Schizosaccharomyces pombe: one gene and its partner. The gene in region 2 interacts genetically with the main gene of each other region. Each region holds a gene or a part of one and is shown on either strand. Other genes may lie near its edges.

Region 1 (3,567 bases), 2.7 Mb from region 2:
ACTTTAAATTACTTTCCAGTGTATTGGCTAAAGTGTCAACCGTATTGATTCGATCAATTGGAACTGACATTTTTGTGTTCTATTTTTGTAACGATTATGTTATAAAAGAATGTTCATTTTTTATTTACAAGATATCACCAATGCATACTTGGCTTTTGGTAAAAATGTTAGGTGCAAATTTCTAAAGGATCGCCAATAGCGGAAGCTATCGGAAAGGTCTTACAAAATCTTTTACGCGCAATAGTAAAAACAGGTAGAAAAAGCCATTCGTCGGTTAAGAGAGCTCTTTGGGCATTCTTTGTTACGTGTAAAACTTTTTATTGTATTTTTTTCCATTTCAATACCCAACTGGTATATCCAAAATTCAGTCCACTAAAGTATGTCGGATTCTAATAAAAATGCACTACCATCATAGATCAACAAAATATATATTTAATAGTGACAGAGGTAATATAAATATAAAGATAAATAAGTACACTTATATATGTAACAGTTACTCAAAGCATTACTTTTCTTTCTGCGAATGATTGATAAGCGACAGTCGATTAAACAAAGTTAGGGCAATTCATAAACCGGTTTTATTATATTATATATAAAATTTTTACAAAAATGCTAGCACGAATATATCCCAACCGATCCTATGCATATTCGTACGTCAAGCCTTGGAGAATTTGGTGAATAAACAACCCGAAAGATTCTCCCCGAATTATTGGTGGCAGAGTCGGTTTTCTTAATTAATGCTAATCTCGTACTGATGTTATTAGTCCAAACGAGACCAAGAGATGGTATTTTGGGATTTGGATCTGTGTCATCCCATCCCGAAAACCATTGCGATTGATAATCTAAACTAAACAACCCAATAGCATCATAATCTCTAGGAATTCTATCGCTAACTTGGTTAGCTATGACAACAGCAGCTTCATGTTGATGAGCTAAAGTGCGTAGAGTCATAGCTAACTTTCCCAATTGATTTCCACGTTTGGCAATATTATCTAAATCTCTAAAATGACTTTTGGATCGGTTGTAACGGAGCTCAGCTCTGTAGTTGGAGGCGACACTATCCAATATAACCAACCCAATTTTATCCCGATTGAATAAAATCGGCAGTTGATACTGAATGATATGTTCTTGAGATTCCAGATCTGGGCATAATATAGTATACACCCTATCTCCTGGATTTTTTATAATTATGTCTTTCTTATCAGCTTTGGGATACCTTTCTGGTAAATAACGCGCCAGTTCAAATAATCGTTTTGTTTCAAGACCGGACTCTGTAGAAATGAAGACAGCTGCTTTGTTCATTCCTCCTAAACTGAGAGGTAGTTGAACCATTAAACAAAGCTGCATACAAAACTGTGACTTCCCTGAACCGCTTTCACCACATATTTCAGTTAACTGTCCTACTGGTATACCTCCATGTAGAGTTTCATCCAACTTTACATCGCCAGTTGTCAAATATTTCGAAGTGACTTTGGAAGCAGAACATCTTACTGGTTGAAGAAGGAGGGATATCTGCTCAATTAACTGTAATAACTCACTTTGACTACAATGTGTGCGTCTTTCTAGCTCAGTAATATCCAGCGTTAACAAATCAACCGTGCTTACTTCTCCTAAAGCTGTCAGTAATTCCGTCTTTTAAGATCCCGGTACAAAAACCCAATATTTTTTTTTTATGTGCAAGCTTATTGAACTACTAAACGCTTACCTAATTCAAATGCTGAAGCAATTTTCTCATCAAAGTAGAAATTGTCAACATAATTCGAAATATCCATCCATATAGTAGAAAGAAAGAAGATTTTTAATTGTAAATATGATATGTATAGTTTTTACTCATAAAGATAAATGAAAATTATATCCACACCATAGAATATTCGAAAGTTGATAGTTTTATATAATGAACAGCTTTGTATCCTACGATTGAATTAAATTCTCACGATTATTTAGAAGTAATAGCACGAACTTCTAACCCACTTTTTCGCAGAAAGAAACGGTAATTTATGTACCACTATAGAAGTGGTGAGTCGAAGATGTTGTACGCGAATTACAACTGACCTGCCAATACCTCTATGTTTAGTAATTATAATCCTTATGAGAAGAAGCCCCGCAATCGACGAATATTTATATGAACATTGGTTTTTATAGAACATTAGCATAGTAACCGCTTACACTTATTTTTTTAACATCTTCAAACCATACATCTATGAAAAACCCCACGTAATGATACACATACTTGCCTAACCACCATTCCTTAATTGATAATTAAGTTATCAAGATATGTGAAATTATATAAGCAGCATATCCAAATGTGTATTGCTCATTAATTGTTAGGCATTAAAATTCGTAGTATGGTTGAGCAAACGAAGTATAAGAAATGATGTTTTACCAATCAACCGACGATAATTCGCTCAGTTTACCAGCTACCAACAAATTTCTTAGTTTATGAATGCTTGGTTCAACATGAAGTAATACTAAATAGAACTTTGTTGAGATTTCTCAATAACAGACAAAATATACATGATACATTTTTCATCTCATGAAACTTCAACTGTACAAAGAATTAGGTAATAGATAAATAACGTACCCTAACGCTCGCAGATTGCACTACGGAGGCAGCTGAAATTCGAAGCAAGGGCAACTGTTTAAAAATTGAGTATTGTAATTGCTTTTGTCAACAAATCAGAATTCTTTGATAAGTTATCTGGCTTTATTAAAAATTAAAAGTTGCTCAACATAGTATTCTTGTCGCCTCAAAAATAATGGGCTTATAGTATCCTAAAATATGCCTTAAATTTTGAATTTTGAATTTTTTTTTTTTCAGTTTAACTACGGATCACGATTACTTCTTGTTTTAAAATGTATGCCAATTCAAGAAAAAGAAGCAATGTCGATGTTCATCGGCACCCTTATGTAGTTTATGGCTCCCCTTTTGATCTTGAGCCGTCCAGAATTAATCAAGGAGTTCCTGTTTGGAAACAAGAAGCCAGGGATGAGCGTAATAGAAAGAGATTTCATGGTGCATTTACTGGTGGATTTTCTGCTGGCTATTTTAATACGGTTGGTTCAAAAGAGGGTTGGCAACCTAAATCTTGGAAAAGTTCAAGGAATGAAAACAAAAGTGTGCATGGAATGACTATTGACGATATTATGGACGAGGAAGATCGTGCTGACCAAGAGCTTAGTAAAGTTTATACTTCGAAAATAAATACGATTGATACATCTATACCAATTGATGATCCTCTACTTAGAGAATTCTCAAATAGGGACGATAGCATTGGCGAAAAAATGTTAAAAAATCTTGGATGGAACGGTCATGATTTTGTTATATCTCCATTTCAAGGGTATTATGATGACACTAAGTTAACCAACCAAGCTTATCACGGTATCGGGTATCAAGCGGACGATGTTTTTCAGCTGGAAAGAAAACCAGTTGGAATGGCAAAAAATCTGCGCGGTGGATTTGGATCAGGTGTTTTAAATGATGATGGGATAGAAGATCAAGATATATACGACCTCGGTGCTCCAAAAATGCGGTATGATAAATCTATCAACATTACAAAAAAAGTCGCT
Region 2 (4,280 bases):
GATGAGTAATTTAAAACATGAAAATTATTCCTTTTTTTTTTCTCTAAATGAAACGAAATGTACAATCCTAATTATCAGTCTATATTGAATATATAACAATAATAGTAACAATGCTATCTATGAAAACAAGAAAGAATTTGCAATTAAGGAACGGTAAAACTATTATAGAAAGAAGGTACGTTTAAGTCAATTTATATGTCTGTATATGTGTTGTTTATGTAGCGGATTTCCCCGGATACCTCTCCATATTTAAGTTATTGTGGGATTTTCACTATCGTTACCTCTATTGCGATACCAACTTTTCTAGGTAACAACGTTCAGCCCCTTTCGTACTGAATGTTGGTACAGTTTACATGTGTAGCCGACTGCATCGGAGGAGGAATAACTATCGAACATAGTCAATTCCGATGACAGACAGCCTGAAATTTTCGCACTTTTAAAGAGGAACTCGCCATTTTCATCACTTCTACGTAAAATGTATAGCGATGCCTCCAAAGTACAAGAAAGAATAGGCGGAAATTAATAGAAGCTACAGTCAATGGCATATATCTTCTCAAAAAAACGATTAAAATATTCAATTTTTATTAAGTATATATTTCCCATTGAGCACTTAAATGTTCAATTGAGACTTTATAGATTTCTGAACAGTTGCTTGTCTAAAAGATTAAAGAAAGATGAACCAAGGTTTATTCATATTCAAGTTAATTGCTTGAAAACATACGTTTGTGTTTAATCGTATGTATCTCTCATTGAAAACGTGAAAACATATGGATTTTATCAACAGATTTTCTGTGACTTGAACATTATATTTCTTTTTGGTGTTATCCTTTTAAGAGATATCAACGGAATAGTAAAACACTGAGTTGCCGAGATTACAACAACTGTATAAAATAAATAAAAAAGAACGGTAAGATCGATAAAGGAAGAGAGAGAAAATAAGTATAAGCATGGTAGATGTTGATTAATCTCTTTTCATTTTAATGTACATTAAAAATGTGGCTAGTCACTCATAACAATTATTCGTTAATTAAATCAAATCATAAACAAATTGAAGTAACCTTAGTCCACATAGGTACTAATGTAGTATGTTAAAACAGCCGTATGTTCATCTTCTGGATCTGTTATATAAACATAAAGTACTAGCGCATGTCCTTCACAGAAACCTGTAATGTAAAAAGGTTAGTTCGTGGTCATAAAAAGGATTCTCTCATAGTACATACACGCTATTACACGCTTTGCAACACTGGATATTTTTAACATGTTGACTAAGTCCTTGCTGTCTAGTCTCATGTGAACAAATTCTTCGGGTGCCCTTGTTTGAGAGGGATGTCGACTGATGTCTTCGACTTGACTAGGATCTAACTCTGGATTCTCTAATCCTTTCCATTTTGTGCTTACTCTAGCTGAAGGTATGTTTACCGATAACTGCAATTCGCCTGACATGTTGGCTGACATTATAATACGGTCTGAAAGACTCTTGTATTTGTCCACGACGTGTCTTAGAAAATTCAGTTGTGGAAGGAATATATGACAGTCTGGTTCAGGAGCAGTTGGTTCCTTAATAACTGACACGTATGATTGTGATAGTACTCGAACAGGTATATTATGAGTCACAATATTCGAACCAAACGCCCTTCCACTCCAAGTGGTAGACAACGAAAGTAATGGCTGGTTATTCTTCTTGGATAGACGAACAGTAGAATCACTAGCGTTGGCCGCTGATCGTAAGGCTTTATAGAAATTATCTATAGGAACTTCTAGATTTATCACGTTGTCTGCATTGCTTTGGACGACATAGTCCTCAAATATTGTTTCCTTTCCGTTTACGTTAGTTAGGGCAATCAAATAGAAAAAGATAGTTAATCATACGACTTCTAAAACTCTGTTTCTTTATTAGTTTCACAATGTGATTTTTTTCACCGTTAAATGCTTAATATCTTCACTTACGACCAAACTTGAGTCATCCTAAAATCTGGCACTATCACAAAATTTACAGTTTCAGGCATCAGACGAAGCCAGCAAAATCTTCCAATTTTATCTAGCGCCTGAACAAGACCTAAATTTGATTAGTAAACGAACTTTCTGCTGATCTTTTCCAACTTACGCGTCAACGTGTACAAGTTGCTAATCCTTGTTTTAAATCTCATTTTCAGTCTTTGATTTAACTAATGAGATTGAGATTTTTTGGCATTTTGTTTATTCAAGCGTTTAGCAGGTTAAAGTCGACCAATAATAAATTTTCGGTCGAAAAAACTACGAACGCGTAAAAGCCAGCTAAGAAATAGCAAACTGGGCATTAGCAACTGCATCGCAATCTTTATTAAGCAAATGCAAATTTTAATGGCAAGTGGAATAAAATTAATGAATAAAATTTAAAAAGATTTACAAAAGTCTTAGAGTCTAAAAAAAATTATACTCAAGAGCCTATTCGTTGTATCATTTATTTCATACGATTAGCTATTCCTAAATTTTAAATTACATTAAAAAAATAAATGGCAAGTAAGAAGGGTTCTAGCTAGAGCAGGAACATTGAATTTGGCTTTTGGAGGGAGTAGTGTTATAGCATAAATAATCCTCTTCTTCCTTGGAAAACCCCCAAGTATCTTCGAACGGACAGGCAGCCATTTTACACACTTTTTTAAAAAGCTCAAATTTCCCGATGTATGCTTCTTTAATCACCTCTTCAAGAACCCAATTTCTAAGAGTAAAATGTGGGTTGACTTTTTTCATGCTCGCTAATCGGGATGAATCTTCCTGAGTTTTCGTTGCTTCACTATATCGACCAACCCAATTAGTGAAAGCTTTGACAGATTCATTTCTAACTCTTTCATTATTCGGGTTTAGACAAATACATGCTTGCATCAATTTTGCAGCATATTCTTCATTCTCCATTGAAGAGGGAGAGTTTCTAGAAAGAAAGGAAAAACAATTTGGCATATCCAATTCATAATCCTCCAAAATTTGTAACAAATCAGTTATCAGAATTTTGTTAGATGAGTCAGAGGGAAGACCCACTCGTTTGAACATAAGATCATAGAAATCATTCTGGACAATATTTTTATACTCTTCTACTATCTTTTCAAAAACTTCAGAAGTATAAGCAAACGCCTTTTTTAACAAATCAGTAGAGTTATGAAGTTGTTCCATATATTGCAAGTCATCAACTTTGTCGCAAGCTCCAATTAACTCAACCAAAGCAGATGCTAATTTTGATAAATTCCAAATAATAATATCAGGTTGGTTGCGATATGAATATCGCAAAAATACATCGTCATGATTAGGTGTAAAAGATGGGTTGTAAACATCTAAAAATCCAAAAGGTCCATAATCAATTGATAGTCCCAGTATACTGGTATTATCAGTATTCAAAACACCATTCATAAATCCATATGCTTGCCATTTGGCTACAGTTTTAGCATTTCGATATGCAACATCTCGAAGAAGTTTTTCGTAGCGATTTCCAGTATCTCCACCATGAAATCCATCTTTTAAAACGAAATTTAGACAATAGTCGGCTAATTTCCGTAAAGACTCAATTTGATTATTAATCCCCTGGAGATCGAAAGTCCCAATTCTGATCCAAGAAGGGGCCATACGGCAAACAACGGCGCAAGGCTCTACAGTCTCACGTTGTGCTACAACACCTTCAAGATTGGAAATTGCCAGAGCCTGTGTTGTTGGAATGCCTAGAGCATATAAAGCTTCACAACATAAATATTCTCGAATGCTAGATCTTAAAACAGCCTTTCCATCTGCAAATCGAGAGTATGGTGTTCTTCCTGCGCCTTTGACTTGAATCTCAAAGCGTTTTCCAGTTTCCGGGTTGGTAAGTTCGCATAAGGATACTACGCGGCCATCACCCAACTGACCTGCCCAATCCCCAAATTGGTATCCTCCATAACATTGCGCCCAAGGACAACACTTATTGACATCAACGTTAGAACCGACAACAAGCTGTTGAAAAGCTTCAGTTTGAGTTTCAGATTCTTCGAGTCCTAATGACTTCACGGACGAAGGGCTATAAGCTAATAATTGAGAATTGGCTTTTAGTGATGGAGTCAAATAAGTAAATAAGCCGCCGCCTTCCACAAATCGAGGAACATGTAAGATTCTGTCATCAGCCTTTTTCATTGCCTGTACGGTCGGTACCAGTGGATCAGGCGGAAGATTTGATGTGAACGTTGAGCTGACAGGGAGATCCTTCAATTTTTTTGACATCGTATTGGTATATCGAATTAATGTTCTTTGCATACCAATGTTTGATTGTGCCCCAGTGTAAA

Evidence for each region.
Region 1: mutations in hus1 (region 2) and rad57 together harm fitness more than expected from each alone (negative genetic interaction), as found in Schizosaccharomyces pombe (3 studies listed by BioGRID, with this or other methods).

What each region holds. Positions count from the first base shown.
Region 1 is NC_003424.3:2,121,495-2,125,061, reverse strand, and holds rad57 (DNA recombination mediator, RecA family ATPase Rad57/Rhp57), read right to left. Parts: upstream 2,033-3,567; 5' UTR 1,773-2,032; coding exon 1,706-1,772; exon of another isoform or gene 1,611-1,705; coding exon 613-1,610; 3' UTR 556-612; downstream 1-555. Other genes in the region: whi2 (phosphatase activator), read right to left, coding at 1-70; gpl1 (Gpl1-Gih35-Wdr83 complex RNA-binding subunit), read left to right, coding at 2,854-3,567. UniProt on the Schizosaccharomyces pombe protein: Involved in recombination DNA repair and in the repair of gamma-ray-induced damage.
Region 2 is NC_003424.3:4,820,432-4,824,711, forward strand, and holds hus1 (checkpoint clamp complex protein Hus1), read right to left. Parts: upstream 2,273-4,280; 5' UTR 2,148-2,272; coding exon 2,105-2,147; exon of another isoform or gene 2,057-2,104; coding exon 1,948-2,056; exon of another isoform or gene 1,883-1,947; coding exon 1,870-1,882; exon of another isoform or gene 1,816-1,869; coding exon 1,221-1,815; exon of another isoform or gene 1,164-1,220; coding exon 1,060-1,163; 3' UTR 556-1,059; downstream 1-555. Other genes in the region: fmp40 (adenylyltransferase), read right to left, coding at 2,512-4,218. UniProt on the Schizosaccharomyces pombe protein: Essential in controlling the S-M checkpoint that couples mitosis to the completion of DNA replication. It is also required for the response to DNA damage.